Saccharomyces cerevisiae S288C: one gene and its partners. The protein of the gene in region 1 purifies or fractionates together with the protein of each later gene. This does not show direct contact. Each region holds a gene or a part of one and is shown in the gene's direction. Other genes may lie near its edges.

Region 1 (8,627 bases):
TATCAAGTTGGCCAATGCTACCAAGAAGGTTGGCACAAAACCTGCCGAATCTGATAAGAAAGAGGAAGAGAAGTCTGCTGAAACCAAAGAACCAACTAAAGAGCCAACAAAGGTCGAAGAACCAGTTAAAAAGGAGGAGAAACCAGTCCAGACTGAAGAAAAGACGGAGGAAAAATCGGAACTTCCAAAGGTAGAAGACCTTAAAATCTCTGAATCAACACATAATACCAACAATGCCAATGTTACCAGTGCTGATGCCTTGATCAAGGAACAGGAAGAAGAAGTGGATGACGAAGTTGTTAACGATATGTTTGGTGGTAAAGATCACGTTTCTTTAATTTTCATGGGTCATGTTGATGCCGGTAAATCTACTATGGGTGGTAATCTACTATACTTGACTGGCTCTGTGGATAAGAGAACTATTGAGAAATATGAAAGAGAAGCCAAGGATGCAGGCAGACAAGGTTGGTACTTGTCATGGGTCATGGATACCAACAAAGAAGAAAGAAATGATGGTAAGACTATCGAAGTTGGTAAGGCCTACTTTGAAACTGAAAAAAGGCGTTATACCATATTGGATGCTCCTGGTCATAAAATGTACGTTTCCGAGATGATCGGTGGTGCTTCTCAAGCTGATGTTGGTGTTTTGGTCATTTCCGCCAGAAAGGGTGAGTACGAAACCGGTTTTGAGAGAGGTGGTCAAACTCGTGAACACGCCCTATTGGCCAAGACCCAAGGTGTTAATAAGATGGTTGTCGTCGTAAATAAGATGGATGACCCAACCGTTAACTGGTCTAAGGAACGTTACGACCAATGTGTGAGTAATGTCAGCAATTTCTTGAGAGCAATTGGTTACAACATTAAGACAGACGTTGTATTTATGCCAGTATCCGGCTACAGTGGTGCAAATTTGAAAGATCACGTAGATCCAAAAGAATGCCCATGGTACACCGGCCCAACTCTGTTAGAATATCTGGATACAATGAACCACGTCGACCGTCACATCAATGCTCCATTCATGTTGCCTATTGCCGCTAAGATGAAGGATCTAGGTACCATCGTTGAAGGTAAAATTGAATCCGGTCATATCAAAAAGGGTCAATCCACCCTACTGATGCCTAACAAAACCGCTGTGGAAATTCAAAATATTTACAACGAAACTGAAAATGAAGTTGATATGGCTATGTGTGGTGAGCAAGTTAAACTAAGAATCAAAGGTGTTGAAGAAGAAGACATTTCACCAGGTTTTGTACTAACATCGCCAAAGAACCCTATCAAGAGTGTTACCAAGTTTGTAGCTCAAATTGCTATTGTAGAATTAAAATCTATCATAGCAGCCGGTTTTTCATGTGTTATGCATGTTCATACAGCAATTGAAGAGGTACATATTGTTAAGTTATTGCACAAATTAGAAAAGGGTACCAACCGTAAGTCAAAGAAACCACCTGCTTTTGCTAAGAAGGGTATGAAGGTCATCGCTGTTTTAGAAACTGAAGCTCCAGTTTGTGTGGAAACTTACCAAGATTACCCTCAATTAGGTAGATTCACTTTGAGAGATCAAGGTACCACAATAGCAATTGGTAAAATTGTTAAAATTGCCGAGTAAATTTCTTGCAAACATAAGTAAATGCAAACACAATAATACCGATCATAAAGCATTTTCTTCTATATTAAAAAACAAGGTTTAATAAAGCTGTTATATATATATATATATATATAGACGTATAATTAGTTTAGTTCTTTTTGTACCATATACCATAAACAAGGTAAACTTCACCTCTCAATATATCTAGAATTTCATAAAAATATCTAGCAAGGTTTCAACTCCTTCAATCACGTTTTCATCATAACCCTTCCCCGGCGTTATTTCAGAATGTGCAAAATCTATTAGTGACATGGAACTCAAAGAACCAGTTGTTTTTTTGTCCTTTGGTCCTTCGCTGCTTCCCTCGGCATCATCATCATCATCATCATCATTATCATCATCGTCGTCATCATCGTCTATAAAATCATCTCGCATAAGTTTGTCAACATCATTTAGTAATTCCCATCGCTCCGGGTCTCCTTCGTAAATAAACAAAAGACTACTTGATATCATTCTAACTTCTTCTTCTAGCATAGTATTATAAAACAACTGCAATCTTTTCAAAAATGTTTTCTTCAGTTGATGCTTTCTCGCATCCGACAGATGAGGATTGTTAAAATAAAGTTCAATTGCATCTGAAACATTTTGATCGGTTCTTGAACGACCATACAATTTGTTTATAAAGATATAATCACTGTCTGCTTCTTCTTCGTAATATTCGAGCGAAAGCTGATTCAGCACAGAGGGATTTTTCTGTATTTTCATGCCACATATCCTGAAACCCAAAGATCCTGAAGTCGTCGTCTCACTGACTCTTTTCATTCTCTCTCTTTTTTCCAATGATGCCTTCGAATCATACAAAGTTTTGCCTAATTTTATATCAAGTATATTAGGTTTACTAAATCCATATAGTAGATTTTCTAAAACGAGGTATTGCTTGGACTTCTCAGACTTTACAGGTATTGAATCAAGATTATCAGTGGAATCACTTAACCGCTCATCTATCTTCAGAAGCGCAGCATCGCCACTTTGCTCGATTTTTGCCCCTTCATTCAAGACTCCAAGATACGTGGGCATCCAAGAGCACAAGGGAGCATCTCCATCAGCCGAAGACTTTCTTCGACTCACATCTCTCACTTGTATGGCTTTGTAGAATTCCAGTTCCTGCGGAAAGGCCGGTTTAAAGATGAGCAATCCATCACCGTCTGTTAGAGTACCGTCGTGGCCAGCAGCTTTATGCTCTAAAACCCTATAATTGTTTACCGTATCCATGTGAAAAAAATTTCTACTTAGGCACACGTATGCACATATCCATGTAAGCTACTAATGGAAATTGTTTAACTGATTACTGGTAAAAAAGGGATCTCCAATGGCTTTATCTTATTCCATTTTGTCCCACCATTTGTATACAGTATAAAGACATTTTGGTGAGATACTTAGTTACCCAGCCTACTTCTGAGAAATATTACCCGACTCGATTATCTACCAATTGGCTTCGAGAACGTGGTTTTTCACCATTTTTTTTCCCGCTTTTTTTTTTCATCCGACCGTTGTGGCGGAGAGAAGCTTCCGGAAGGGAATTCACTCAGATTCTCTCCAGTACCACGGGGGGCAACTCTGCCTGGAACACTCTCTTCCTTCAAGAACTTAGCAAGAAGTACCAATTAGTCCCAGCGGGCCCTCAGGGCTGGTCTACTGCCTTATACTCTAGGATGTACATCCTACCACACACAACAAGCCTGTCACACCATGACTACAGATCCTTCTGTCAAATTGAAGTCCGCCAAAGACTCCCTCGTCTCCTCCCTCTTCGAGTTATCAAAAGCTGCTAATCAGACAGCCTCCTCTATTGTTGATTTCTACAATGCCATCGGCGACGATGAAGAAGAGAAGATAGAGGCTTTCACCACTTTGACTGAGTCTTTGCAAACATTGACTTCTGGTGTAAACCACTTGCACGGCATCAGCTCGGAGCTGGTTAACCCTATTGATGATGATAAAGATGCTATTATCGCTGCTCCAGTCAAGGCTGTAAGAAGAAAGATCGAACGTGATCCAAATGCTCCAAAGAAGCCACTGACTGTTTTCTTTGCTTACTCTGCGTACGTTCGTCAAGAACTTCGTGAAGACAGACAAAAGGCTGGCTTGCCACCTTTATCCTCAACTGAGATTACTCAAGAAATCTCCAAGAAATGGAAGGAATTGAGTGATAACGAAAAAGAAAAATGGAAGCAGGCTTACAACGTCGAGTTGGAGAATTACCAAAGAGAGAAATCCAAATACTTAGAAGCAAAGAAAAACGGTACCCTACCACCAGCTTCCTTGGAAAACGGTCCAACTCATGCGCCGGTTCCAATTCCTTTCAGTTTACAGCACGCCGCTGAACCTCCTGTGGAAAAGAGACCTCACGATGATGATGGATCTTCGGAAAAGAAGAAGAAGAAGAAGAAGAAGGATAAGAAGAAGGACAAATCCAACTCTTCTATTTGATGGACGGACAAACTCGTTACTATTACTCTACTGTCTTTCTAAAATAAATATAATAATAAAAAAAGGAATAAAATATAGCAGCATGGGCTTGCTTTGCCCATAGTGTATGCACATATATATATATATATATGTATCTATCCCTCTCCTCTTGTAACAGTATATCTTCCTTTTCATTTTCGTTGTGTATATGTATGTATATAGTTCTAAATTTGCGATTATACCTTTTCAAACCTCTCAATGTTGTATTGTGCTAAAACTATGTACATTTTAGAGAAAAAGAAGGAAGCAAAACAAATACATAATATATACAGGGGGGCCGTTCTTTTTGTTTTTGAACATGTATTAAAGAGTGCTCAATAATTGATCTACAATATCAAATTTCTTCTTTGGTGCATCTTCAGGGCGTTTCCAGTGTTCAGGAAACTCATAATCCCGCTTCTTTTTACGTAAACTCTTAGCTATAGTATGCCTTGTGTCAAGGGGAACATCGCTAAAATCGTCCTCCGTCAAATCTTTTGACTCCGCTAACAGCCTTTGAAGAATATCATGCAAATAACGTGCATTTTGTGATGCATGCTCAAATTTGTCACTAGACATTTTAAAAATATCTGTAGTATGATCATAACGCGACCTGGCTAATATTCTGAACTTATGTAATGATTTTTCCTCCAGGCCCAATTCCTTGGTTTTAACGCTTAATACAACCTTCCTCGAATTGGGATGCTCTTCGCCAACATAACTAGTGTATCTATAAGTGACCGGATGACTTTCTGGAGATGGTCTCTTGTATTCCTGGCGATATTGAGCTAATAGCGGTAACTCATATGCGGCTAATCGATTATAGAACCTTTGTTCACGATGTTGGGCAACCAATTCCTGAGCTTGCGATGGCAATTCATCAAACATAAACGGTCTAAGACTGTTATCGCGATTCACGTTTCCACCTTTTATATCAATAGCGCCTTGTTCTCCTCTGTGATATAGCTTTTTAATATCGTTAACAGGTACATTTGAGTACTCAGAAGTGGTTAATAAGGCATTCAGTTCGTCTTTGTTAGGTTTATACTCTGAACCCAATCTAGCCATTCTCTCCCAATATAACTCTAAAATTCTTTGAGGAGGTAAACCCTTCCATTTTTCGGGATGCATATAGAGATCTGCTGAAAAAGCTGGTCCTTCTCTCACAGTTTTAGCTTCATTACCAGCATCACTGTTCAAACATCTAGACATTGTCAAAACCCTTTTCTGGGTGCTCCACAAATTACCCCGAGAGACTTTCCATAACCCCAATGGTACTTTCATCTTCCTAAGAATAGTATTTTAGTAGTGTCAAATGTTTCGGTAACTCTACTGCCTTGTTCACAGATCGAAATATACTCAGAATCAGTTACAGAAAAGGTCCCATTTAGCGTAATTTCTTAGCGGAACTCATTAAAGAGCTCCGACGTGCAACGCGATAAAGGTTCGCCGACGACAACAAAACAATGGCAGGCAGTCATTAAATGAACGCCATCAAATGAAATATTCGTGGTAGCGATTACAATAAGGAAGTTGGAAAAACATAACAAAGACGGAGCGACGAGAAGTATTGGACAGGACATATGCCTAGACATGGAAGAAGAGGAAAACTGCCAAAAGGCGAGAAACTTCCTAAAAAGGAGGGAGGCGACAATACTCCGTCAAAGCTTTTATCGTCAATGCTTAAAACTTTAGATTTGACCTTCGAGCGTGATATTGGAATGCTCAATGGCAAAAGTGTTAGGTCCATACCCAATAAAAAAACTTTACTTGAATTGCAAAGTCAATTGGATAGTCTCAATGAAATACTGGGTACAATTGCCCGAGGTGATCAAGAGACCATTGAAGCGCTTCGGAAAATAAGAGACAGTAAAAATGAGAAGCAAGCAAACGATGAAAAGCAGGAAACTTCAAATGCAGACGGGCAGCACGAAAGTTCTACTGCTACTGAAGAAACGAATATAATTGATAAAGGGGTACAAAGCCCACCAAAACCTCCTCCTTCTAATGAAATCTCCGGCACAATTGAGAACGATGTAGAAAGCATCAAACAAGCGGCTGATAATATGGCTAAAGAAGAAATTAATGAAGACAAAGATTTACAAGTTCATAGAGATCAACCCAGAGAAAAGAGGCCGTTCGATTCTGAAACTGAAAATAGGGCCACTGAAAATGAAAACACACAGAGGCCAGACAATAAGAAGCAAAAAATTGACGTTGACAAAATGGAAAACGATCCAACTGTTAAAAATCCAAAATCAGAATTTGTAGTATCGCAAACGTTACCTCGAGCAGCAGCAGCACTCGGCTTATTCAATGAAGAGGGACTAGAAAGTACAGGAGAAGACTTCCTAAAAAAAAAATACAATGTAGCTAGTTATCCAACAAATGATTTGAAAGATCTGTTACCAGGTGAATTACCGGATATGGACTTTTCGCATCCTAAACCAACCAACCAAATTCAATTCAATACCTTTCTAGCATTTGTGGAAAATTTTTTCAAAGATCTTAGTGATGACAACTTAAAGTTTTTGAAGATGAAATATATTATACCCGATAGCTTGCAATTTGACAAAACTTATGACCCTGAGGTAAACCCGTTTATTATACCGAAACTAGGCCCTTTATACACAGATGTTTGGTTCAAAGATGAAAACGACAAAAATTCTGCCTATAAAAAACCTTCACCATATTCAAACGATGCATCTACTATACTACCAAAAAAAAGTGCCAACGAACTTGATGATAATGCTTTGGAATCGGGCAGTATATCGTGTGGGCCCTTATTATCTAGGCTGTTGAGTGCTGTATTAAAAGATGACAATGACAAATCAGAATTGCAATCTTCTAAAATAATACGGGATGGCGGACTACCGAGAACCGGAGGGGAAGACGATATACAATCGTTTAGAAACAACAACAATGATACTGTAGACATGACATTATCTCAGGAGAACGGGCCCAGTGTTCAAACACCTGACAATGACATTGATGAGGAAGCATCTTTCCAAGCAAAACTGGCAGAAAATAAAGGCAGTAATGGCGGTACTACAAGTACGTTACCCCAACAAATTGGGTGGATAACAAATGGAATTAACCTGGACTATCCAACATTCGAAGAACGATTGAAAAGAGAACTAAAGTATGTAGGGATATACATGAATTTGCCTAAGGATGAGAACAACCCTAACTCAGATGACCCCGATTGGGTCACCGGTAGAGAAGACGACGAAATAAGCGCAGAGTTAAGAGAATTGCAAGGCACTTTAAAACAAGTGACCAAGAAAAACCAAAAGAGGAAAGCCCAATTGATTCCACTAGTGGAAAGACAACTAGCATGGCAGGAATACTCATCTATTTTAGAAGATTTAGACAAACAAATCGACCAGGCTTATGTCAAACGTATTCGCGTACCCAAGAAAAGAAAGAAGCATCATACAGCAGCTTCAAATAATGTGAACACAGGAACCACGTCTCAAATAGCACAACAAAAGGCTGCAAACTCAAGTTTAAAATCCCTTCTGGATAAAAGGCAAAGGTGGATTAATAAGATTGGTCCATTGTTTGATAAACCTGAAATTATGAAGAGAATCCCCAATGAAAGCGTATTCAAGGACATGGACCAAGAAGAAGATGAGGATGAAGCCGATGTATTTGCACAAAACACTAATAAGGACGTGGAACTAAATTAAAATATACGAACTCTAAGGAAAAATACGTAGCATAATAACGCATATAACTAACAATTTGGATAACTATCCATAAAAAAAAAAAAATAGTCACATAATACGAACATTAATATCCTTTTTTGTTACATTTTCTTCCATCTGAAATATTTGGAGGGGCAAAAACAATGAGATGACAGTTGAATGCATGAACTTCCGATCGCGGGCGTATAGGTAAAGTCAATTGAAGCAAGTGTGACGACATAAGTATCGTAATTTAGTGGTTGGATACATTAAAAAAAACAAGTGGTATATATATAAGTAGTAGTAGTAAGAAGTAAGCGATGTCTAGGGCTAAGAGAATTATGAAAGAAATCCAAGCTGTGAAGGATGATCCTGCAGCTCACATTACTCTTGAATTTGTGAGTGAATCTGATATCCACCATTTAAAAGGCACATTTTTGGGCCCACCTGGAACACCTTACGAGGGTGGCAAATTTGTCGTGGATATCGAAGTACCTATGGAGTATCCATTCAAACCACCAAAGATGCAGTTCGACACAAAAGTATACCATCCAAATATATCATCAGTGACAGGTGCCATTTGTTTAGATATTCTTAAGAATGCATGGTCGCCAGTGATAACACTAAAGTCTGCATTGATTTCGCTACAGGCGCTACTACAATCTCCAGAGCCTAACGATCCTCAAGATGCAGAAGTAGCACAACACTATTTACGGGATAGAGAATCTTTTAATAAGACTGCTGCACTATGGACGAGGTTATACGCCAGTGAAACTTCCAATGGTCAAAAAGGCAATGTAGAGGAGTCTGATTTATATGGGATTGACCACGATCTGATTGACGAG
Region 2 (7,703 bases), 440 kb from region 1:
CCACTAAGATAAACTAAAAATATCTTTATAATGCCAAATAATACTCTTAAACAAGGCTCCAAAATTGAAAATGTTTCTCCCTCTAAAGGTCATGTCCCAAGTTTTTGGAAGCAGTTCATAAACAACCCTAAGAGTATGTCATCCGAAAATATTACAGTCCCTAGATCACCAACTTCTCTTTCAAGGAATGCTCAACCAACTACTTTAAAACGGCCTCCATTATCTTCAAGACCATATTCATATAATACCCCAACCAAAGATAGGAAATCCTTTTCCAAATCCGCGAAACAGAACAATAACAATAACAACGCTAATTCCGGAACATCGCCTCACGCAGAGTTCAAAAATTACAGAGATATGTTTTTATCTAATAGAAATGGTTTCACAGGTAGGGTTTTCGGTGTTACTTTAGCAGAATCGTTGAGCGTCGCCAGTGCAGAGGTCATTGTTCAAAGTGAGTTGGTGAGTTTTGGTCGGATACCCATCGTGGTAGCCAAGTGCGGCGCATACTTAAAAGCAAATGGATTGGAGACCTCGGGTATATTTCGTATAGCGGGCAATGGTAAAAGAGTAAAAGCCCTTCAATACATATTCTCGTCGCCACCTGATTATGGTACCAAATTCAACGATTGGGAAACATATACAGTGCACGATGTTGCATCGCTCCTGAGGAGATACCTTAATAATTTGGCCGAACCACTAATACCTTTATCCCTATATGAACAATTCAGAAACCCGCTACGATCTAGACCAAGAATCCTAAGGCATATGTTGACCCACGAAGTTTCTCATCCGAATGCGAATAAAACAAATAATGTAACAGTAAAATCAAGTAGACAGAACTATAATGATGATGGTGCTAATGATGGTGACATCGAAAAGGAGGACGCTAAAGATGATGAAGAAAAAAGACGAAGAAAAATACGTCATAAGAGAAGGCTGACCCGCGATATAAGGGCAGCTATCAAGGAATATGAAGAGCTCTTTGTTACCTTATCAAATGACACGAAACAGCTAACTATATACCTACTCGATTTACTGAGTCTTTTTGCAAGGCAATCACAGTTTAACCTAATGTCTGGTAGAAACTTGGCGGCCATCTTCCAACCTTCAATATTATCGCATCCTCAACATGATATGGACCCCAAAGAATACGAGTTATCCCGACTAGTAGTGGAATTTTTGATTGAATACTCGTACAAGCTATTACCCCATCTTTTGAAGTTGGCTAAAAGGGAACAACAGGAACGGTTGTCAACCGAAAATAAGAAAAATAATGGAGATAAACAGAAAACTGATCCTATAGAAATACCAAAGATCACCTCATCGGATTCGCCACCAATAGTTTCTTCCAATAAAAACCCACCGGCGATTGACAATAACAATAAACTAGACCATACGACGTTATCGCCAATATCTACTTCGATACCGGAGAACTCATCAGACCTACAGACTTCAAAAATGTTAAAGCCTCCGAAGCAAAGAAGACCACACTCAAAATCGTTTGGTTCTACTCCGGTTCCTCCGGATGTTATTGCTAGTAATAAAAGAAGAACGAGTTTATTCCCGTGGTTACATAAACCGGGAATTTTGAGTGACACAGGAGACAATGGCGACTTAACTGCTACTGAAGCTGAAGGTGATGATTATGAAGAAGAAAATGTTGATCCATACGGTCAGTCTCCATCTAGCGTACACTCAGGTTCTTTGCCCAAACAGCATTATCTGCCAATTCCTCGAATGAACAGATCGTTGAGTGGAAACAGTACCAATTCGTCCTTTAACACTAGACCTATTTCAATGATCCTGACCAGTGGTAATGATAATTCCGCTGATCAATTAGAATTACTAAGTAACACTCATAGCAATAATGAGCGCAGTAATGCTTTACCATTAACCGAAGATGATGGGGATGAAAGAAATTCAAGATCACGCAAGAGGGAATCATGGTTTCAAAGACTAACAAGCCGTTCAGGCTCTGCTAACAGGGCTTGATAACACCATTTTTCTTTCCTTTTAATTTCCTCATTTTTTTTTTTTTCGTTATTTCCCTTAAAAACCTGTTGGCGGTTTTCTTTCTTTTTCTTTGCCTTCTGTATAAATAACAAATAAACATCATTCCCCTTTCAAGATTTATAACCATAAAGGGAACATATATAACATAAATCATGAAGAGGACAAATTACGGACAATTATTCTGTAGCGATGCTAATCAGTATAAAATAAAAGAATAAAAATTCTTAAGTTGTTAATATGCCAGAGAAATGTTACAGCTTGTAACTCTTCAATAATGAATTTCTATGTTATATGACTGGCTGTTTCATATAAGCTATAACAGGGATCATGATCATTAAGCATTTTCTCTGCAACATTTATGTCGTACACTGCGAACCACGATTAAATAAATATATAGATACCTTTTCTTATTTATTAGTCTAATTCAACAATATCAGAATTAGTCGGTTCATTAACTAACTTTGTCCTTTTGTTACTGGGCGCCTCAGAAATCTCAGTATCAACTGGCCTCTTCTTTGAACCATTGATCGGTTCAGCATCGATGGTGATCTCACCTTCATCGTCGTCTAATATCACGATACCATCTTTCCCATGACTGTTCGTAGTTGCGACTACATCTGCACCCTTTTCATTTTTTTCTTCTTCTTCATTTTTTGAAGGACTATTGTTGGCCTTTATTAATGGGACTTCAACGTCCGGTAAGCTGCAAGTATTACATGGGAGTTCATCATCAACATCAAGAAATAATTCTATGGCTTTGCGGATCATTGTATCACCTTCTTCGTCGGAGAATAATATTATAGAACCATTTCCAAGATTAATCTCCGATAAAGTACGATCGTTCAAATCCTCGAAATCGTAATCAAATAGTAACCTTTGATTACTTGCGTCCAGGAGCGAAATATCCTGTGGATATGAGTACTTCTCGCGTATTAAAACTACAAAATCACTTAGTTTCATTTTGTTCAAACAATCGCTGGATAACTTAATAACACCTCTACAAACTTTAGAGCAAACTGGGCAATTTTTATTTGGAGGGGCTAGTTTCGGATTTGATAAATAACGATTTTGGGATAGATTGCTTGCCTTTGCTGTGAAAGCCATATTCAAATCAGTATACTTAGTAGTTGGGGCATATTTCAAAAGATTTAAAACGCGCAGTGAAATCAATGACGATGCACCGGCAACGATAGCATTCGTTGTTGCAATAGCCGGGATAATGTTACCAGCAATTTGCTTGATGTCAAATACGGACTTCATTGGAATATTGAATATGTGTGACCTTATGTTCGCAGCAGTTGCGACGAATTCCAAAGTATCAGCATCATCTTTATCAAATTCAATATGATTTTGCTCTTTGGGATAGCGATCCATTAATTTTTGTGTAATATTAATGAAATTACTAATTTGCTCCTGTATTGTGCCAACAGAATTAGAGGCAGACTGAGCTGTTTTAGTAGGAGTATTTATTTGAGAGTCTGATAATGGTACTGGCTTTGTTCTCGTTTTCCATAAATTTTCAATGGCTAGCAGTTTATTTATATCCTGAATGAATAATTTATTAAGAATCTCTGGAATACGGGATGCATCTCTTGATATGATAATTTTTTGCAATTCATACAATTCATTAGTTTCTTGTTTAATGCGCTTAATTTCTTCAGCATCATCTGTACCCCAATCCTGGTTGTTATCATCTTCATTTCCAGAGGTCTCTGACGCAAATAGCTGGTTAAATAGAAAGTTTTTCGCCCAAACAATGCAATGAATTGGCTGAGAAGGAGTGGACCTGATAGTACACACAGGAAAAGTCTTTGGTGTTTCCTTCTTTGTACATTCAAAACACTCAGTTTTCCCGGGGATAATAGGCTGCATGTATCCATCAAATCCAGCTGTTCCAGATTCTATTAAGGGCAGTGATAGAAACTGTGATATTTTATTGACATACCGTCTTGCGGCCAAGTTATCAAGAGCATTGAAGATAATGTCAAATTGCTCAAACCAATGCAGTGGGAAGGTAGAAATGTCCATAACATTTCCTTGGTAAGGCACTAACTTAGAGTTATTGAAATGCTGTACTGCTTTTACGGCTGTGGTAGACTTCGGTTGTTTAATATCTTTTTGTCTAAAAAGAAATTGCCTGTTTAAGTTCGAAAGGTCAATGGTGTCCAAATCGACAATATGTATTTCACCAAATTCCATCAAGATTATATCCTTTAACAATTCAGACCCTATGCCCCCAGCACCGACCAGAAGACATCTTGAGGACCGTAATTTCTTGTAACTATCTTCACCGATGATTGTTACCAAACTTGTTTCCCTTGGCATTTTCTTTTCTTGTTTGGCGTAGCGCTCCTGATCTTGTGTGTCTGTTGAAGTACGCAATTAGTGGATTGCTCATCCAAATATCTTGATTTAGCGTAAACATACTTCGCCTTTGAAAAACTTTAACTTGAAAATAGAGTATAAAAAAAAATTGCACAAAAAATGCGGAAGCCGGGAATCGAACCCGGGCCCCATGCTTGGGAAGCATGAATTCTAACCACTGAACCACTTTCGCTAAGAAGATCTAGCTTACATAGGTTTTGTGGTAATATAAATTCTTGAGACCGTAACCGCGCAAAGAAATACCTAAAATAGTAATTGCTAACTACATCTAAAAACAGACTGAAGCTCACTAGATATGAGACTTTTCTCACATCTTCAAAATAAAGAAAACAATAGCAGGCGAAATTTTTTTGAACCTGGTTATACAGTGCATGCTCCAAAATGTCGTCTTTAAACACTACTTTTTATTCTAAATAATTACTTGAAGGGGGGAAAGAAAAAGCTCAAAAACTACTCTTTTAAGACTTTATTACCGTCCTTATGATATATCATTAAATAGGCTGTGAACCCTTCACCATTCGGATCGCAATTGCCGTTAGAGTCGACCTCACACTCACCGTATTTGAACGTCATGTAATTTCTAAATCCAAAATATTCGTACACAGATTTAGCATGCTCGGCAATAGCTTCAAGGACAATGGCGCAATTTTCTTCGTCTGCTCTCCTTTTGTACTCTTCAAAAATAGTCCTTACAGAACCTCTGATTCCTTTCTCATTTAAGTTCTTACCAATACAGAAAAGATAGTAGTAATTGATGCCATTTGGAATGACTTGCTTTACGCGAGCATTTAAATCGTCAATAAAGTCCTTGTTGAACTTTGCATCATTACTCCTTGCCTTCGGAACGTGAGGTGGAAGACTCCACACTGCAACAGCATCGAAAGTATTAACTTCGGAGATCTCACCATAAGGTGAATCCAGGAATGGCGATATGATATCGGTGGTTATTGTCCTTGTAGGCACCTTCTCAGCTAGAGGAATATTTAAGATTTTCTTGCAGATAAAATGAAACGCTGGCGAGTTACTAAAAGCAATAGACAAAGTCTCTGCTGCTCTTCTGGCATCCGTAGTCTTGTTCAGGGTACAGACCATATGGCCCTTAGCATCGTTGTTTTCTAATGGAGTTGGCAGTTTGTTCTCGAAGGACATGATGTTCGGTTACATGTCTTAGAATTATTTTCTCGAGATTAGTGAGTGACTTGGCATAATATCAGGTACAATAACTGTTATATATACGCCGGCGGCATTTCATTTTTTTCACTTATCTCAGCCCCTGGGACTCTGATGCCGTTCACACCAACGTCTGCTGTGATTTGGAGTGAAATATCTGGATACTAATAGAAATATTACGATAAAAAAGAGTTATCTACAGTTTGCTGCATTATTTTTGCGTTATCGGTCAATCAACTTTAAGAGATCACCGTACATTTCCGGCAGCATTAGCGGGCGTCTCTTAGTTTCTTTGCAATACAGTAGGAACTCCAATTTTTTGTTCGTCTCCTCGCTACATTCAGATTCAACTGCAATCTCGAAAACAAGTTTTTTATGCCGCCAAAATAGGTATACATTGCGTTCAATGCATTCTCATTCATCTCTATCGCAAGAACGTCTTGTTCAAAGCTGCCCTTTCTTGAGGCTTCAAGCGCAGCGCACAGAAAAGAAGAAAATCCGAACCATGTAATATAGATCGGCGGAAACGAAAAGTAAAAAGTAAGGTTGAAGACACTCTGAACCCGGGGAAGAGTGCATACAAGGTACCGTGCCAAAATTCAAGAGATTAGGGCAGGAATGATGGACAAGCATAAGTATCGTGTGGAGATTCAACAGATGATGTTTGTCTCTGGTGAAATTAACGACCCACCCGTAGAAACCACATCACTGATAGAAGATATAGTGAGGGGTCAAGTGATAGAAATTCTTTTACAGTCAAACAAAACGGCGCATCTTAGGGGAAGTAGGAGCATTCTCCCTGAAGACGTCATTTTCTTGATCAGACACGACAAGGCCAAAGTCAATCGTTTGAGAACATATCTGTCATGGAAGGATTTGCGTAAAAACGCCAAGGACCAAGATGCTAGTGCCGGTGTAGCGAGTGGCACTGGAAATCCTGGGGCAGGTGGTGAAGATGATTTGAAAAAAGCAGGTGGTGGCGAGAAAGACGAAAAAGATGGTGGAAACATGATGAAGGTCAAGAAATCCCAAATTAAGCTGCCATGGGAATTGCAGTTTATGTTCAATGAACATCCTTTAGAAAATAATGACGACAATGATGATATGGATGAGGATGAACGAGAAGCTAATATAGTCACTTTGAAAAGGCTGAAAATGGCTGACGATAGAACACGAAACATGACTAAAGAGGAGTACGTGCATTGGTCCGATTGTCGACAGGCAAGTTTTACATTTAGGAAGAATAAAAGGTTCAAGGACTGGTCTGGAATTTCGCAATTAACTGAGGGGAAACCCCATGATGATGTGATTGATATACTGGGGTTTCTAACTTTTGAGATTGTCTGTTCTTTGACGGAAACAGCTCTGAAAATCAAACAAAGAGAACAGGTATTACAGACTCAAAAGGACAAATCCCAGCAATCTAGCCAAGATAATACTAACTTTGAATTTGCATCATCCACATTACATAGAAAGAAAAGATTATTTGATGGACCTGAAAATGTTATAAACCCGCTCAAACCAAGGCATATAGAGGAAGCCTGGAGAGTACTACAAACAATTGACATGAGGCATAGGGCTTTGACCAACTTTAAAGGTGGTAGACTCAGTTCTAAACCAATTATCATGTAAATTTTTGTATAATTTCATCATGGAGGTGCATGGGTTTCCTTCTGGTATGATAAATGTGAGCCAAATGAATTGAAAAATACAAATAAAGATTATGTACGTAGATACGCGTTATAAAGAGGACTATCTGATCATTGGGGTCTTTTTCGTTGTGAAATTGTAACGGGTGAACTCAGTGATTAAAAAATTGCGTGATGTTGAGATACTATGGGGCGACAAGAAACTTACCCTTAGTATTCAGCATTAACAAATTAATGTTGAGGGCGTCATCTTTCACCAGGCCATTTCATTATAGTTCATATTCTCTACAGAACGGTGATACTCCTGATAAAGGCAGCACTAATAAAAATGAAATACGGACACCTAATAACGCTGTTTGGAAAGAAAATATAGAACTTCAATGGCAGCACTTGAAAAAGAAATTAAATGAATTGTATTCTAGGTTTAACTTCCACCGAGATCAATTATCCTTTCAAGTTAACAAGGCCAAAAAATCAATTCAA
Region 3 (8,567 bases), on another chromosome or scaffold:
CTAATGAACCTCAAGTACGATCACATCAATATGGTCCGCAACAGCAGCCACCGCAGCAATTGCAATATCACCAAAATCAGCCCCACGACGGCCATAACCACGAACAGCACCAAACAGTACAAAAGGATATGCAAACGCATGAATCGCTAGAAATAATGGGAAACACATTATTGGAAGAGTTCAAAGACATTAAAATGGTGAACGGCGAGTTGAAGTATGTGAAGCCAGAAGATTAGCATATAGATGAAATCAAACTTAGACGTATCTCTCGTCCATTTTCATTACATTTTCATCTTTCTTCATTAATTATATACTGAACATATACGCATCTATACAATTTTGACTTTTTAAAGAAGAAAAAGAAAACAATAGTATACATTCTTTTTTCTACTTTTGTTACAGATAAAAAATCGTTCTTATTATATTACATATATCGGTGCTAAGATCAGGATTTTTTCATGTTCCTTCCCCCTGTTATTTCACATCATCCTTTTGCCGGTAGATTAGGCTGGTGTAAATAGTAGTGCTTTTCTCATACATACAAGACATACGTGAAGATAAGTCCCATTTTCTCTCCCTCTGTCATTAATTTTGAAAGTTCGTTGAGCACTCATGAAAACTGCGTCCTTTTGTTTTTTTGATCTGAAGTAAATATGTGTGAGCAAGATAAGCACACAAAGAATAAAACCATCGAAGTATCCTTTCTTCTTTGTTGTGATTGAAAAAACACATTTTCCCGAGAGTGACATTTGGGACATTCTCTATCAGATCTCGGAAGAGTGGGATCGGAACCAATATCTTGCACCACTCCCGCAGTTTCACCAATGTTGGTAATCAATTCATGCCTGTAGACCAATGGACTGCCCGCTTCTTCTACATACGAGCATGTTCTGCATTCAAATAACAACCGGTTATTTTCTTTATCCTCACGAGGGTACAACATATTGTTGCAGTCACGACAAAATCTAAACGTAGTCATAGCAGTTTTAAGGGGAGTTTAACTTGCTCTTTTGGCTAGATTTTGTAACTTTCGTTCTACCTAGAATCTGCTCTTGTTCCATTTGACTTACTCTTTAACGCTATTCACCAAAACAAAATTTTTCAACTTACCCGCCCTATGTCTTGAAGTCCAATAAAACAACTCAAACTAATGGCAAACAAGAACTCGGTAAGTTCTGGAAGGAACAGGACAAGCAGCCCGTCAGCAGCAAACACAGTCAATTAAATAAGCGCCCAGTATGTCCTTACGTATACTAGCGAAGAGATCTTCTTCTATCTGGATGAAAACGCGCGTTACACCAGCGCTAATTTCTCCTATTACTATCACAACCCGTTTCAATTCTACGACTACAACAGCACCATCACATAAGGATGATGTAAGGCCAGTTGATCCTAAAATTTCTAAAATTGTACAGGACATTTCACAATTGACTCTTTTGGAAACTTCCAGTTTAATCAACGAGCTGAAAACCGTATTGAACATTCCAGAAATTTCCATGCCTATGGGCGGATTCATGGCAGGCGCTGCAGGCGCAGGTGCTGGTAATGTACCTAGCTCCACTGGTGAAGCTGGTAGTGGTGCTGAAGAAGAAGCTAAGCCTGAGGCAAAGACCGTGTTTACGGTGAAGTTGGACTCGTTCGACACGAAGACTAAGGCTAAAGTCATCAAGGAAGTCAAGGGATTATTGGGGCTTTCATTAGTTGAAGCTAAGAAATTCGTTGAAGCTGCACCAAAGGTCTTGAAAGAAAATGTCGCCAAGGATGATGCTGAAAAGATTAAGAAAACCTTGGAAGACTTAGGAGCTAAGGTCAGTTTAGAATGATTTTAAAACTGTAGCAATCTACCAATCGTGTTAATCAAAATAGTCTGTTTTCTCTTCGAGAAAATAAGGAATATATCATGTAAATATGTTTAACTCTTTATTCTTCTTTCGTCCTGCCTTTTATATATTTTGCCACATCGCTTCTTGCAAGTAGATGTATAAAAATGATTGATTTCCTTATTATTTTCTATAGTATCTTCAACTTCATTATGGCATTCGTTTTCGTGTTATAAGTATTTCAGACGGGCTAATCTATCACTTCATAAATCTACTTTTCCAACTTACAAAAGCGGTTGCTTTTCTTCGAAATATAAAGCCCACCAACCATAAGAATAAAGAACAAGAGCAGGAGCGAAACGAAAGAGAAGATAAAGATTGTACCTTTTTGCTCCTGATTTTTTTTTGATTACGCTACGGTTAGTTGAGAGAATGTCCACTGCTGTGACTTTTTTTGGCCAGCATGTCTTGAACAGAGTTTCGTTCTTAAGATGTTCGAAAGAGTTCATCAAAAAATCATTGAACCATGACTCTACCGTTTTTATCCCATTTATCGAAGGGGAAGCCCTCATTTCGCCCGAAAATGGTGACCTAGTTCAGCTTTCTAATTCTGTAAAGTCTTACAAGAATATTTTGTCAGCAATAGTTCCTTTATACACTACTTTATTGAACACAACTCGCTCAAGAAGCGATGAATCAGGCATCAATGTAACATTTTTAGGTCTCCTGGAAGGCACAGATTCTGCATTTAATTTTGAATGGTCTAATATTTCTTACAAAGGAACACCATATTTTGGATTAGATATCCGTGTTACTGAGAGCACACTCTTCAAGAAAGTCGACTTTGAGCCTATTTTTTCCTATCCGAAGGTGACCAGAGATCACATTTTCAAACAAACAAATGAGGATGCTTCACTTTATTCACAAGGTAAGATGTATCTGGATTGGCTAGCAAAGTACAAATTCTGTCCCGGTTGTGGGTCTCCGTTATTCCCAGTAGAGGCAGGAACTAAGCTTCAGTGTTCTAATGAAAATCGGAATGTATACTGTAATGTGAGAGATGCAAGAATTAATAACGTTTGCTTCCCAAGAACTGATCCAACGGTCATTATAGCCTTGACCAATTCGGATTACTCTAAGTGTTGTCTGGCAAGATCAAAAAAAAGGTACGGTGATTTTGTATTGTATTCAACAATAGCAGGTTTTATGGAGCCATCAGAAACCATAGAGGAGGCTTGTATCAGAGAAATATGGGAGGAAACAGGCATTTCATGCAAAAATATTGATATAGTCCGGTCACAGCCCTGGCCTTACCCTTGCAGTTTGATGATTGGCTGTTTAGGCATAGTTCAATTCAATTCCAAAAATGAGGTTATCAACCTGAATCATGACGACGAATTATTGGATGCTCAATGGTTTGATACAACTGAAATCATTCAAGCTTTGGATAAGTACGCCGGCGGGTATCGTGTTCCATTCAAAAATGATATCAATTTACCTGGAAGTACTACCATTGCCTTCCAATTAATCAATCATGTTTGCGAGAACTATAAAAACTTACGTAAGACCTCATCGAGCCATCTATAGTTTTTAATATAATAAACATTGATAAATAGGCGTGCTTCAGCATATGGATATTTTTCACTCAGTTACCCGAAGAAAACAGAGGTGCGTCATAATGCAAATGCTAAATGAATGAATATAGGATGTTAGATTGCTGGTACAAGCAATTTTGAAACAAAAATCATTACGAACAGAAGAAAGTGGAGCTGAAGAGCGTATATAGTTGTTCATAGCTGTAAAATAATTTCTAAATTACTATTTAGAACCTTTTTGATATCCAGCATCGCTCATTAGAGATTAATTTACCAAAACGGAATAAACCAAAAAAATAAGAATAGTGAACACACAAGAGAAGCGCAAAAGAGTAAAGAGCTAAAATGAGGTCAGGCGATGCAGAGATTAAAGGAATTAAGCCCAAAGTTATTGAGGAATATTCTTTATCTCAGGGAAGTGGTCCTTCCAACGATTCATGGAAAAGTTTAATGTCGTCCGCGAAGGACACTCCTTTGCAGTATGATCACATGAATCGCGAAAGTCTAAAAAAATACTTCAATCCGAATGCACAACTCATTGAAGATCCTTTGGATAAACCGATTCAGTATAGAGTGTGCGAAAAATGTGGGAAACCCTTAGCTTTGACAGCAATTGTAGACCACTTAGAAAACCATTGTGCGGGAGCATCTGGAAAAAGTAGCACAGATCCAAGAGATGAGAGTACTAGGGAAACGATACGAAATGGAGTAGAATCAACTGGGAGAAATAATAACGACGATGACAATAGCAATGATAATAACAATGATGATGATGATGATGACGATAACGACGACAACGAAGATGATGATGACGCTGATGATGACGACGATAATTCCAATGGTGCCAATTACAAGAAGAATGACTCTTCTTTTAACCCTTTGAAAAGATCCACATCTATGGAATCTGCGAACACACCAAATATGGACACGAAAAGATCGAAAACTGGGACTCCTCAAACCTTCAGCTCTTCCATAAAAAAACAAAAGAAAGTCAAACAAAGAAACCCAACTGAAAAGCATTTAATTGATTTCAACAAACAGTGTGGTGTAGAGTTGCCGGAAGGTGGTTACTGTGCACGTTCGCTGACATGTAAGTCCCATTCAATGGGTGCAAAGAGGGCTGTCTCTGGTCGTTCCAAGCCCTACGACGTCTTGCTAGCAGATTATCATAGAGAACATCAAACAAAAATTGGTGCAGCTGCTGAGAAACGTGCTAAGCAACAAGAATTACAAAAATTACAAAAGCAGATACAAAAAGAGCAGAAAAAACATACTCAGCAACAGAAACAAGGTCAAAGGTCTAAGCAAAGAAATGTGAATGGTGGGAAATCAGCCAAAAATGGTGGTAAGAGTACTGTACACAATGGTAACAATATCAATGAGATAGGACACGTTAACCTAACTCCTGAAGAGGAAACAACACAGGTTCTAAATGGGGTATCCCGATCTTTCCCACTGCCACTAGAGTCAACGGTACTATCGTCAGTTAGATACAGGACTAAATATTTTAGAATGAGGGAAATGTTTGCTTCCTCCTTTTCTGTGAAACCAGGATATACATCTCCAGGTTACGGTGCGATCCATTCTCGTGTAGGATGCTTGGATTTGGATAGAACAACAGATTACAAATTTCGTGTTAGGACTCCACAGCCAATTAATCACCTCACAAACCAAAACCTCAATCCGAAACAAATACAAAGACTACAACAACAGAGAGCTCTACAGGCTCAGCTTCTTTCTCAACAACAGCAACAGCAGCAACAGCAGCAGCAACATCACTCACCCCAAGCGCAGGCCCAGGCCAGTACCCAACAACCTACTCAAGGTATGGTGCCCAATCATTTCCCCGGCGGGGCAACGAATTCATCATTTAATGCCAATGTGTCGAGCAAGCAAATTCAGCAGCAGCAGCAGCAGCAGCAGCACAAGTCTCAAGACACAGGTCTCACGCCGCTGGAGATACAATCACAACAACAAAAACTACGACAACAACAACTACAACAACAGAAGTTTGAAGCTGCTGCTTCATATTTAGCCAACGCTACCAAATTAATGCAAGAATCAAATCAAGATAGCCATTTATCTGGCACCCACAACAATAATAGTAGTAAAAACGGTAACAATAACCTCATGACGATGAAAGCCTCCATAAGCTCTCCCAATACTAGCGTAAATAGTATCCAATCTCCCCCTAGTGTCAACAGCGTCAATGGCTCCGGGCAAGGTGTATCTACCGGTATTAATGTCTCTGGCAATAACGGGAGAATTGAAGTAGGTATTGGAAATTCTGTGAACCCCTACAATGGCAGAATAAATTAATTGAATCATGCACGTTATCCAGCATGTTCACGAAGTGAGTAATAAAAAATTATTCGCCGAAGTAACATGTACACGTCTATGTTTGTGGACAAGTTACGCTATTTGCATTTAGAGATTTCTTCTCCAATGTAAATTATTTTTTCTTCGGGGGGTATACATTATTTATTTAAGTAGACATTATATTTCTTCATAAGGGTAGGAGAGAGCGAATACAAATGCCCAGTAAATTCCCCATAAGTAGTTCTTAAAATATAATACCATAAAAGTGGCCATAAATAGGAAGGGCCATGGATTATTGGGTAGAATTTTTATAAATGCCATATGCAAAATAAAATTAGAGAATGAAATACCGAATATTTCCCAAGGATAATACTTTTTTTCTTTCCATATGACTTTCTCGACGTTTTCTTCAAATGACTGAGTCATTGCTTCCCTAGAAAAGTATTTCTTGACTCTTAGCGGGCCATTCCTCTCAAAGTTCACAGAACCGTTCTGCAAGATCTTTCTGCTTTCATCAATTGCAGTAGCCCATTGAATAGGGACGGCAGGTTTTAGCCACCCAGTGGCAGAACTTTCATTTTCACCAGCAACGTAAGATTTGATAGTCTCCAAAGGACCTCCATTGTTTACTGCTAGTACAGGCTTACCTAATTTCATGGCTTCTAAAGGAACAATACCAAAGTGCTCATATGCTGGTGTATACAATAACATTTCGGTTCTTTCGAGCAGTAATTCTTTCAGAGATGATGAAATGGAAGTTAAAAATATAATTTTACTATTATTGGTTTTGAATGACTCTAAATCGGAGACGCGCTTTATTTCTTGGTAGTATATGGTTGTATGGGATAATTCGTATTCATCGGCCAGAGACTGTAGTTCCTTCAAGTACTCCACATTTTCTGCAACCCTCTCGTCATAACCACCGCAAATAACTAACTTAACGTTGTCATTGATTTGATCTTCAGATAACGCAAAAGCCTTTATAGCCAGCGCAACATCCTTTTTTTTCTCAAAACGATTTATACTTAGGTAAAATCTATCGCCTTCGTTAAACACTGTTTTGAAAAATTTCTTGTCAATATCTTCAATTTCGATTGTTGATAAATCCACGCATGGATAAATGACGTCTGGATCATTGGATAAATACTTGAACGTTTGGTGGAACGTATTCTTAGTGAAATTTGAATTTACCACAACAGTATCGGCAGCACTCACGGAAAACTGTTCTATTAAGTCAAATGGTAGTCTGTATATTTTCTTCAATAGCCCAGCTCTTTGAGCCAATAATTGGTCGGGGAAATGACAATAAAACATCAAAGTGGCAGAACTAAAGATATGCAGAAGCGGAATACATGTAGACAGTTGATCAATGATAATTAATTGGTACGCATTCACTTTTTTCTGTAGGATCAATTGAATAACTAAATAAAGCTGTCTAATTGTTGCGAAAACAATAAAAAAACGACCCAAAAAGTTTGTCGGTAAAAAATCACCATAAACTTCGACTTTTAATTGGCCGTTTTTAACTTCTTCGAAACAATGTGATTTATCACAGTGACTAGTATAGATGATTACACTATGTCCTTGTTGCTGTAGACCTAATGCTGCATCGACGACTAACCTTTCAGCGCCCCCAATACCTAGGTCTGGATGAATAAAAGCAATCGTTCTTTTATCCTTTTCAATCATTTTTGCTTGTCTAATCGACTCTTTTTTATCTGTCTTTACTACTGTATCTATTTCGTGACTTCTTAAATGGCGAACGTAATCTTTTGATGTTAAAATGAATACATCATTTATTTTGTTGTTCGCGCGTTCATCTAGCCAGGCACTTGTTTATAAAAAAAGAAGCTATACGCAAGGCTCTCGATCTATAAATTGTATCTGTGATTGTGACCCTTTCGTATATATGTTATAATATTTACAAGAATATACATTTATCATGATAATCTCTGGTGCTTTTTGATGATCTTTGGAAGAGCTTTAGCCCAAGATTTTGTTTTACTGTCAGTTAGCATAAATACGCGGCCGCCCTGTTTCATTCTAGCAGTTCTGCCCACTCGGTGTATCAGGTCTATTGACGTTTTGGGTACATCGTAGAGAACAACATTCCGTACACCTTTGAAATTGAGCCCTCTTGCCATGAGGTCGGTGGTTACGAGTACATGCAAAGACTTGTTACTGGGTGCGGTACCATTAGAATTTGTGTTTTTCAATTTGCCGATGACGATGTTGGAATCAGGAATTTCAAATTTCTTCAAGGAAGTGGGAGGTGAAGTACTCTGAGCAACCACCTCCGAAAGTGGTCGCGGTGGTGATAAAAAGGGCATAATTTTCTCGGATCTTTCTTCAAATGTATCTTCACCAGTTAAACCGATGGCATTATGACCGAATTTCTTATTCAATAGGTTAACAATTTCAGGAACATTCTTTTTTTCGTTAACAAAGATAATGCATCTTTTCTCGAACCCTGGTTCCGTGTCATCATTTGAAATAGCATATAAAGTTTGTGCCAATGCTTTGATCTTGGATCCCTTGAAAGGACTTAAGGCAGAATTTATAACTTTAAAGTCCAAAGCGAATGGTAACTTATGCAGTCTGGGTGTCATTATAGGAACCACTGTAGGAAATAGTCTTTGCATTGTTTTATTAAACTCTTGAGGAATAGTAGCGGAACAGAAAATAAGGTGATTAATGTTAGGAATTCTCTTTATTGCGGAGTGCGTTTCTTCAAGCCATGACCTATCTAGAAGTGTGTCAGCTTCATCTAGTACTACGAAACCCACTTTGGACAAGACTTTATCAGGTCTAGTTATCATTCTTATGGAGAACA
Region 4 (7,021 bases), on another chromosome or scaffold:
TTTATTTTATGTTTAAGAGCAGATACGTCAATGTAGCTTGCATATGTACGTATCCTCCCCCACCTCCTATTTTCTACTTTGAACTTTATGGGAGTGTTAGTATAAGAAATATGTTTACACCTTTTTCAGACAAATGTAAACGGAAAATTAAAAAACGAATTCAGATCGATGTGTTAATCAAGTAGATGAAGGAGAATAAAGCATATAAAGCGCACCGCACACATGTTTCATTTAGTCAAGGGACTTTACAATAATTGGAATAAAAAGGAACAATATTCAATTCTAATATTAGGTCTAGACAATGCAGGCAAAACGACGTTCTTGGAGACATTGAAAAAGGAATACTCTCTGGCGTTCAAAGCCTTGGAAAAGATACAGCCTACGGTAGGACAAAATGTGGCGACAATACCCGTTGACAGTAAACAGATCTTGAAGTTTTGGGATGTAGGTGGTCAAGAATCACTGAGATCAATGTGGTCCGAATACTATTCCCTATGTCATGGTATAATTTTCATTGTGGATAGTTCAGATAGAGAACGATTAGACGAATGTTCCACGACCCTACAGTCAGTTGTAATGGATGAAGAAATTGAAGGTGTACCCATCTTGATGCTGGCCAATAAACAAGATAGACAAGATAGAATGGAAGTACAAGATATAAAAGAAGTATTTAATAAGATTGCGGAACATATAAGCGCTAGAGATAGTAGGGTTTTACCAATAAGCGCATTGACTGGAGAAGGTGTTAAAGACGCTATAGAATGGATGATTGTTAGACTAGAAAGGAATAAAAAGTCAAGACCACCGATTTATAAATGATAAAGAAGCACCAAAAGAAATAAAATGTGAATGGTTTATTCTCAAGCTCAGAAATTAGTTGTTGTAGCACTTTTTATTCGGCATTTTTTAATATACATGTGTAAATTATATATATATATATATGAATATATATCTTGTTTTGTTTATTTTCAACTAATAATCGCAACAATATTATCTTTCAATAACGCTATAGCTTCTGTATGCTTTTTGCTCAGTTGCTCAATGGTTCTCTTCCTCTATGTGATAAACCAAATAGTTTGGTAAGCCAAATACATCGTAGTTTAATCTCTTCGCCATCTTAGCAAAACCTTCTGTTTCAATCAAGTGATAAAATGGGAAATTAGGGAACATGGCACCGTCTCTGTGAACTTCTGCTTTGACCAAAGTACAGCCTCCACCAACACCATCCAGCGCCATCTCTTCACCTGGTACGCCATTAGCATCGTAGAAATGAGCCATTAATGGCCTATAAGTGGCAATTTCTGCATAACCCTCGACAATAATCTCGTCATCACCCATCTGAGAGGCTATTTCTAAACCGGTGTCACTTTCTTGCCAGTTGTTGAAATCGTATGGTCTGATTGATGGTTGCTTCTTCTCTTCATCGTAAAATCTTTGATAAATGTTTGCAGCTAAGATAGCTTTGTTGTGTTTGGTCATGTCTTGAATTAAAGATGGTGGTGTCTCTATAATATCGGCATCTAGCCACAGCACCCAAGAAGTGTGAGGTCCTATGGTGGAGAATAGTAATTCATTGCGCGCCAAAGCCATTGCTGCACGTCTTTCCTTTTGAACATCTAAAGCGTGTCTTTCCTTCTCCATCAACTTATCAAAACTCTGGGAATTCTGTCGCAAAATAGTAATTTTACTAAATCTTTGAGTTTTCTTGTCCGTTTGAACCTTTTTAATAGCATTCTCCAATTTCTTTAAGGCCAAGTCACCAGTGGCTGTTCTTGGTGTAATGAACCCCAATTCAATCAATTCCCGAGGGTAATTTAGCTGCAGCAAATTGTCCCAGTATTGTTGATGAAATGTTTGCATTGGAGTCAATATCAAAATATGCTCCTTATTGACAGCTGCTTCTGACGTAGAGTGCAATTTGTTCAAATCATAATGTGCAATATGACCTTCTGGGATAATATCTTCCACGTGATCGTTGAACAACCAGCCGCTTTTTTTCTTATAAGAGTACTTTGGCATTTTGTATTTCTTGGTGAAGGGAAAATAAAATGTGTTTTCCTTTTCGTGTGCCCATTTGTGTTGGGAAATGGACTGGCCATTAAGTCCCAACAGAGATTGATCTCTCTGGAAAAAAATTATATATATTAGAAATATGGCCAAAACAGGTAGAAAAATGTTAACCCACGGGTTCTTTCTTAGGCGGTACGATACAAGAGAAAGTGACATTGTTTCCTAACTTTTTATTCTAGCTCTTTTAAATTCTTCTGTTTGAAAAATACTAAAATTGATGCTATTCTCTTCTTACTTTCACAAAGTGCGGAAGGAAAAATAGGTTCAGAAATAACGGGTCCCAAGAGCGGCTAACAGAAAATAATAAAAGCTTTTCTACCAATTGAGAATCCGCTTGGTTGACGACTTTTCCTCCTTTATTATTCTTGATTTGGTGTTCTGTTTTACTTATATCAAAATACTTCAACGCCAAATCCGCTACAACGATGGAAAGGAAAAAAAAAAAAAAAAAAAAAAGACAAACCAATGCTGTCGTGTCTAGTGACGATAAAGGCTGTAACTATTAATAAGGTGAATACTCACCCTCATCTTTTAGTTTATCAAACTTATATAAAAATTGTGTATGTACTGAATTGTCCTTGGTGTGCGAGTGAGAGTGTGTGTGTGAGTGCGTGTGTGAGTAGGTGAGTGTATGCGAGTGTATGTAAGTTTATAAGTGCCTGTGTGGCTACTATTTTCCGGTTCTGTGATGTGATGATGATTTTTTTGTCAGCTCCTTTGATTCATTCCATACTTTATTACATATGCTCATAAACATTTTCTTGTCTACATTGCTAGAGCTCAGGGGGAACTCGAAGGCAAAAATATGCGATGAGAGTCGGATTTCGCCTTGAAGAAGACTAGGTGATTGCTGCTGCGGCTGCGAGGTCCGCTGGAACGTAGTAAAAGTGGGAGTGGGGACCGCTCCGTCCTCGATGGCCAAGTCCGTACCCTCTTCTTCGTCTTTATTGGGTTCTGCCTCATGCCATGAACTCCTGTCCCGGTTTGTGCTTGTGCTTGTACTTGTGCTTGTGCTTGCGCTTCTGGCTTTCGTGTTGGCCGAGAGTAATGCATCCCGTTCAAAGTGGTATTCTTCAGCAGGTATCATATCTGCTGGGCGTAGATCCGCGCGCTGTTGCGTAGGACCGGCATTCGCACTTGATCCTACGCTAGAATTTCTTGAGCCTTCCTCGGATCGTCTGGTTTTCCCAGTGGAAGCGGTGCCACTCAAAGGCGAATCATATGAGTCGTTAACCCTCTTGTTTCTGTAATTGCTAGCACTATACTCATTTTCTTCGTAGGGCCTAGCGTTGCCACCTTGCATAGCATAAGGAATGGAGGTCCGCGGTCCCATTGGATATGGATACGACACGTAGGGTGTCATTATGGGCTTGTTCAGCATGTGAGGTGGAGGGATACCGTACGGATTATAATATGGTGACATTATGTAGCGATTCATGGGCATGTAAGGGTTCATGGCGCTCATGATGCCCGCCGAGGGCATGTGTGGTTTCCCATAACTATTGCTGCTATTATTCACTTGTATAGATTGTCTAGAACTGGCCTTTCCCAAGTATTGGACACGGGGCTGGAACTTGGAATGCTGAGTAACTTGTGCGGGCGCGCTTTTCACGTTTTGATTAGCAACAGGAGGAAAATGTGCAGAGTTAGACGAAGCCAAGTTGCCGTCCTTAATATTACCACCGTGTGTATTAGTGTTGCTATCCGATAAATTCAAAGGCGCCGGGACTCTGCCCCTCTTCAATGATTTCTTCGGATTCTTCAATGGTTGGGCTTTCCTCTTCTTCGCAGTGGCTGTCTCAGAATCCTCATGATCTGCTTCCTTGTCACCAGAGTCATCCTCCTCAGGGACATGCTCTAGCTCCGACTCCTGACCAACGCTGTTTCCGCCTGGCGAATTCTTAATGTTGCTATCGCTGCTGCCCTTAGCATTTGCTACACTGATTTCTGTATCACCAATTGGATCTTGTGTTGATTTAGCAATGGATGTATCCTCGGCAGTCGTTCTCAAACGGGCTGATACGGCCATTCTCACTTTCTATTTTCTTCTTTGAGAAACAATACCAAAATTTGTTACTGATTTGATTCTTTTTAAGTGCGTTTCTTCTGTATAAGCTAAAAAAACGCAAAGCACAAAGCGGAAAAACTAAACCTAATAAACTTCCCCCAGCGAGAAACAGATGTAAAGAACAACCGTATCAAGTGGCGAAGCAGCTGCTTATAAGTAAAGCCCAAGGCCCACCAACGCATACATGCAAGGCCTGTGCAAGCCGACTGCTGCTTGTTTCATCTTCCGCTCGCGGTGACCCACTCGGGGAATTTCTCACGCTTGCTGCTGCAGGTCGTTGGGCGTTGATTCCTGTTTTTTTCTTTCGTTTTTTCAATCCGCGGGAGTGAGACATGATTAGTGTAGTCCTTGTAGAGTTCCTTATTTATTTTTTTATTAGTTTTCTTGTTTTCGTTTATCAGCAGGGTTTGGTTGTGTTGCTTGGCAGCCCGCAAATTGGTCTTCCCTCCTTGTTATTGTATTTTCTGTTATTAGAGCATACAGAACATAGAAACTCAAGATCAGATACAGTTTTTGCACGCCATGTCTCAAGGTACTTTATATGCTAACTTCAGAATTAGAACTTGGGTCCCAAGAGGTCTTGTCAAGGCTTTGAAGCTGGACGTTAAGGTTGTTACGCCAGATGCCGCCGCTGAACAGTTCGCAAGGGACTTTCCCTTGAAGAAGGTTCCGGCTTTCGTGGGTCCAAAGGGTTACAAGCTAACCGAGGCAATGGCGATTAACTATTATTTAGTAAAGCTTTCACAGGACGACAAGATGAAGACTCAACTTTTAGGTGCCGACGATGACTTAAATGCCCAAGCGCAAATCATCAGATGGCAATCTTTGGCCAACAGTGATCTGTGCATCCAGATTGCCAACACCATCGTTCCCTTGAAGGGCGGCGCCCCCTACAACAAGAAGAGCGTTGATTCTGCGATGGACGCTGTTGACAAGATCGTCGACATCTTCGAGAACAGATTGAAAAACTACACCTATTTGGCTACGGAAAACATCTCCTTGGCCGACTTGGTGGCTGCCTCGATTTTCACCAGATACTTTGAAAGCCTGTTCGGTACTGAATGGAGAGCTCAACATCCAGCCATCGTGAGATGGTTCAACACCGTTAGAGCCTCACCCTTCTTGAAGGATGAATACAAGGATTTCAAGTTCGCTGACAAGCCATTGAGTCCCCCTCAAAAGAAGAAGGAAAAGAAGGCCCCAGCCGCCGCTCCCGCCGCTTCGAAGAAGAAGGAGGAAGCCAAGCCAGCTGCTACCGAAACTGAAACTTCTTCCAAGAAACCAAAGCACCCATTAGAATTATTGGGCAAGTCAACTTTCGTTTTGGATGACTGGAAGAGAAAGTACTCCAATGAAGACACCAGACCAGTTGCTTTACCTTGGTTTTGGGAGCACTACAACCCAGAAGAGTATTCCCTGTGGAAAGTCACCTACAAGTACAACGATGAATTGACTTTGACTTTCATGTCCAACAACTTGGTCGGTGGTTTCTTCAACAGATTGTCCGCCTCTACCAAGTACATGTTCGGTTGTCTGGTAGTCTACGGTGAAAACAACAACAACGGTATTGTTGGTGCAGTTATGGTTAGGGGCCAAGATTACGTTCCAGCTTTCGATGTCGCACCAGATTGGGAATCTTACGACTATGCAAAGTTGGATCCAACTAACGACGACGACAAAGAATTCATCAATAACATGTGGGCCTGGGATAAGCCAGTTTCCGTCAATGGCGAACCAAAGGAAATTGTTGACGGTAAGGTCTTAAAATAATCTCTTCGTACTATCCTTCATGTCGCCTTTTATTATAAAGTATGCTAGGTAGTTTTATCTATATCTTATTTATGACGCAATATAGGGTAACAGAGTTTTTCTGCTCTGAAACTTCCGCAGAAAAAAAATCAAGTTTTCCTTTTCGTATCTTGGATTATTGTTATATAATAGATGCATGTATTATATGTATAGCAGTGATTTGCTTATTTTCTTGATTCTGAGGAATCGAAGAAGTAACTTAGCGTTTCTTCCGTTGAGCAGAGCAGTATAATAATCCTTCAAATTCTTTAGGTTACGGGGTTTTCCTGTTGCGATGACCGAAGAAACTATTACTATAGATTCTATTTCAAATGGGATACTGAATAACCTGTTAACCACATTGATCCAGGACATTGTAGCTCGGGAAACCACTCAACAACAATTGCTGAAGACAAGATATCCGGATCTTCGCAGTTATTATTTCGACCCGAACGGATCTCTCGATATTAATGGACTACAGAAGCAACAAGAGTCCTCTCAGTATATTCACTGTGAGAATTGTGGCAGGGATGTGTCCGCAAACAGACTAGCAGCTCATTTACAGAGATGTTTGAGTAGGGGTGCTAGACGTTGACACTAGGTGGTGGTTTATGGGTAATTGAAAAGGCACAGACAGATTTTAGCCCATTTCTTGTGGGCATAGGTTCATAAAAAAAGCAAGATTCTTACATTTTATGCGGCATATCTGCACATAGAAGTTCATGTAGTTATGTGGTAACATCTCAAAGAGAGAAGGCGAAAACTGTTTTAGCTATTAACTACATGTTTTTATAATAGCACCTCCCATATATGATGCCAAATGATACCTTGCATTCCGTTATGTGGAAGGGTTACACATAAGTACGCTATAACAATGCATTCAATTTTCTACATATCAGAGTAATATGCTGCAACATCACACCCATATAATATAATTTTTTGAAAGAGTTCCTAACTCTTTTTTGTTTTTCCTGTACCTATATACTCAAATAGTCCGCCGCAAGTAGCAGCTCTAACGACATTTCTGTCGGTATTTCAAACTCTGGAATCTCATCATCGTCCTCGCTAACGCCGCTGTACTTCAAATTATAATTT

The links.
Region 2: the proteins of NGG1 (region 1) and SPT3 purify together in Saccharomyces cerevisiae (affinity purification with western blotting; 6 studies listed by BioGRID, with this or other methods). This does not show direct contact.
Region 3: the proteins of NGG1 (region 1) and SGF73 purify together in Saccharomyces cerevisiae (affinity purification with mass spectrometry; 6 studies listed by BioGRID, with this or other methods). This does not show direct contact.
Region 4: the proteins of NGG1 (region 1) and SGF11 purify together in Saccharomyces cerevisiae (affinity purification with mass spectrometry; 6 studies listed by BioGRID). This does not show direct contact.

Annotation. Positions count from the first base shown.
Region 1 is NC_001136.10:808,776-817,402, forward strand, and holds NGG1 (histone acetyltransferase NGG1), read left to right. Parts: upstream 1-5,676; coding exon 5,677-7,785; downstream 7,786-8,627. Other genes in the region: SUP35 (translation termination factor GTPase eRF3), read left to right, coding at 1-1,606; ARG82 (inositol polyphosphate multikinase), read right to left, coding at 1,790-2,857; HMO1 (Hmo1p), read left to right, coding at 3,335-4,075; mitochondrial 37S ribosomal protein mS35 RSM24, read right to left, coding at 4,418-5,377; E2 ubiquitin-conjugating protein UBC1, read left to right, coding at 8,103-8,627. UniProt on the Saccharomyces cerevisiae protein: Component of the transcription coactivator SAGA complex. SAGA acts as a general cofactor required for essentially all RNA polymerase II transcription. At the promoters, SAGA is required for transcription pre-initiation complex (PIC) recruitment.
Region 2 is NC_001136.10:1,252,507-1,260,209, forward strand, and holds SPT3 (transcriptional regulator SPT3), read left to right. Parts: upstream 1-6,189; coding exon 6,190-7,203; downstream 7,204-7,703. Other genes in the region: GTPase-activating protein SAC7, read left to right, coding at 31-1,995; E1 ubiquitin-activating protein UBA2, read right to left, coding at 2,431-4,341; IAT4 (Iat4p), read right to left, coding at 4,852-5,550; SHE9 (She9p), read left to right, coding at 7,395-7,703. UniProt on the Saccharomyces cerevisiae protein: Component of the transcription coactivator SAGA complex. SAGA acts as a general cofactor required for essentially all RNA polymerase II transcription. At the promoters, SAGA is required for transcription pre-initiation complex (PIC) recruitment.
Region 3 is NC_001139.9:373,849-382,415, forward strand, and holds SGF73 (deubiquitination module subunit SGF73), read left to right. Parts: upstream 1-3,760; coding exon 3,761-5,734; downstream 5,735-8,567. Other genes in the region: DNA-binding transcription factor AFT1, read left to right, coding at 1-236; DNA-directed RNA polymerase II core subunit RPB9, read right to left, coding at 611-979; mitochondrial 54S ribosomal protein bL12m MNP1, read left to right, coding at 1,239-1,823; NPY1 (NAD(+) diphosphatase), read left to right, coding at 2,253-3,407; ALG2 (GDP-Man:Man(1)GlcNAc(2)-PP-dolichol alpha-1,3-mannosyltransferase), read right to left, coding at 5,912-7,423; MRH4 (ATP-dependent RNA helicase), read right to left, coding at 7,675-8,567. UniProt on the Saccharomyces cerevisiae protein: Component of the transcription coactivator SAGA complex. SAGA acts as a general cofactor required for essentially all RNA polymerase II transcription. At the promoters, SAGA is required for transcription pre-initiation complex (PIC) recruitment.
Region 4 is NC_001148.4:459,741-466,761, forward strand, and holds SGF11 (SAGA histone acetyltransferase complex subunit SGF11), read left to right. Parts: upstream 1-6,221; coding exon 6,222-6,521; downstream 6,522-7,021. Other genes in the region: Arf family GTPase ARL3, read left to right, coding at 223-819; mannosyltransferase complex subunit MNN9, read right to left, coding at 1,039-2,226; DIG1 (Dig1p), read right to left, coding at 2,741-4,099; CAM1 (translation elongation factor EF1B gamma), read left to right, coding at 4,661-5,908; ELC1 (elongin C), read right to left, coding at 6,904-7,021. UniProt on the Saccharomyces cerevisiae protein: Component of the transcription coactivator SAGA complex. SAGA acts as a general cofactor required for essentially all RNA polymerase II transcription. At the promoters, SAGA is required for transcription pre-initiation complex (PIC) recruitment.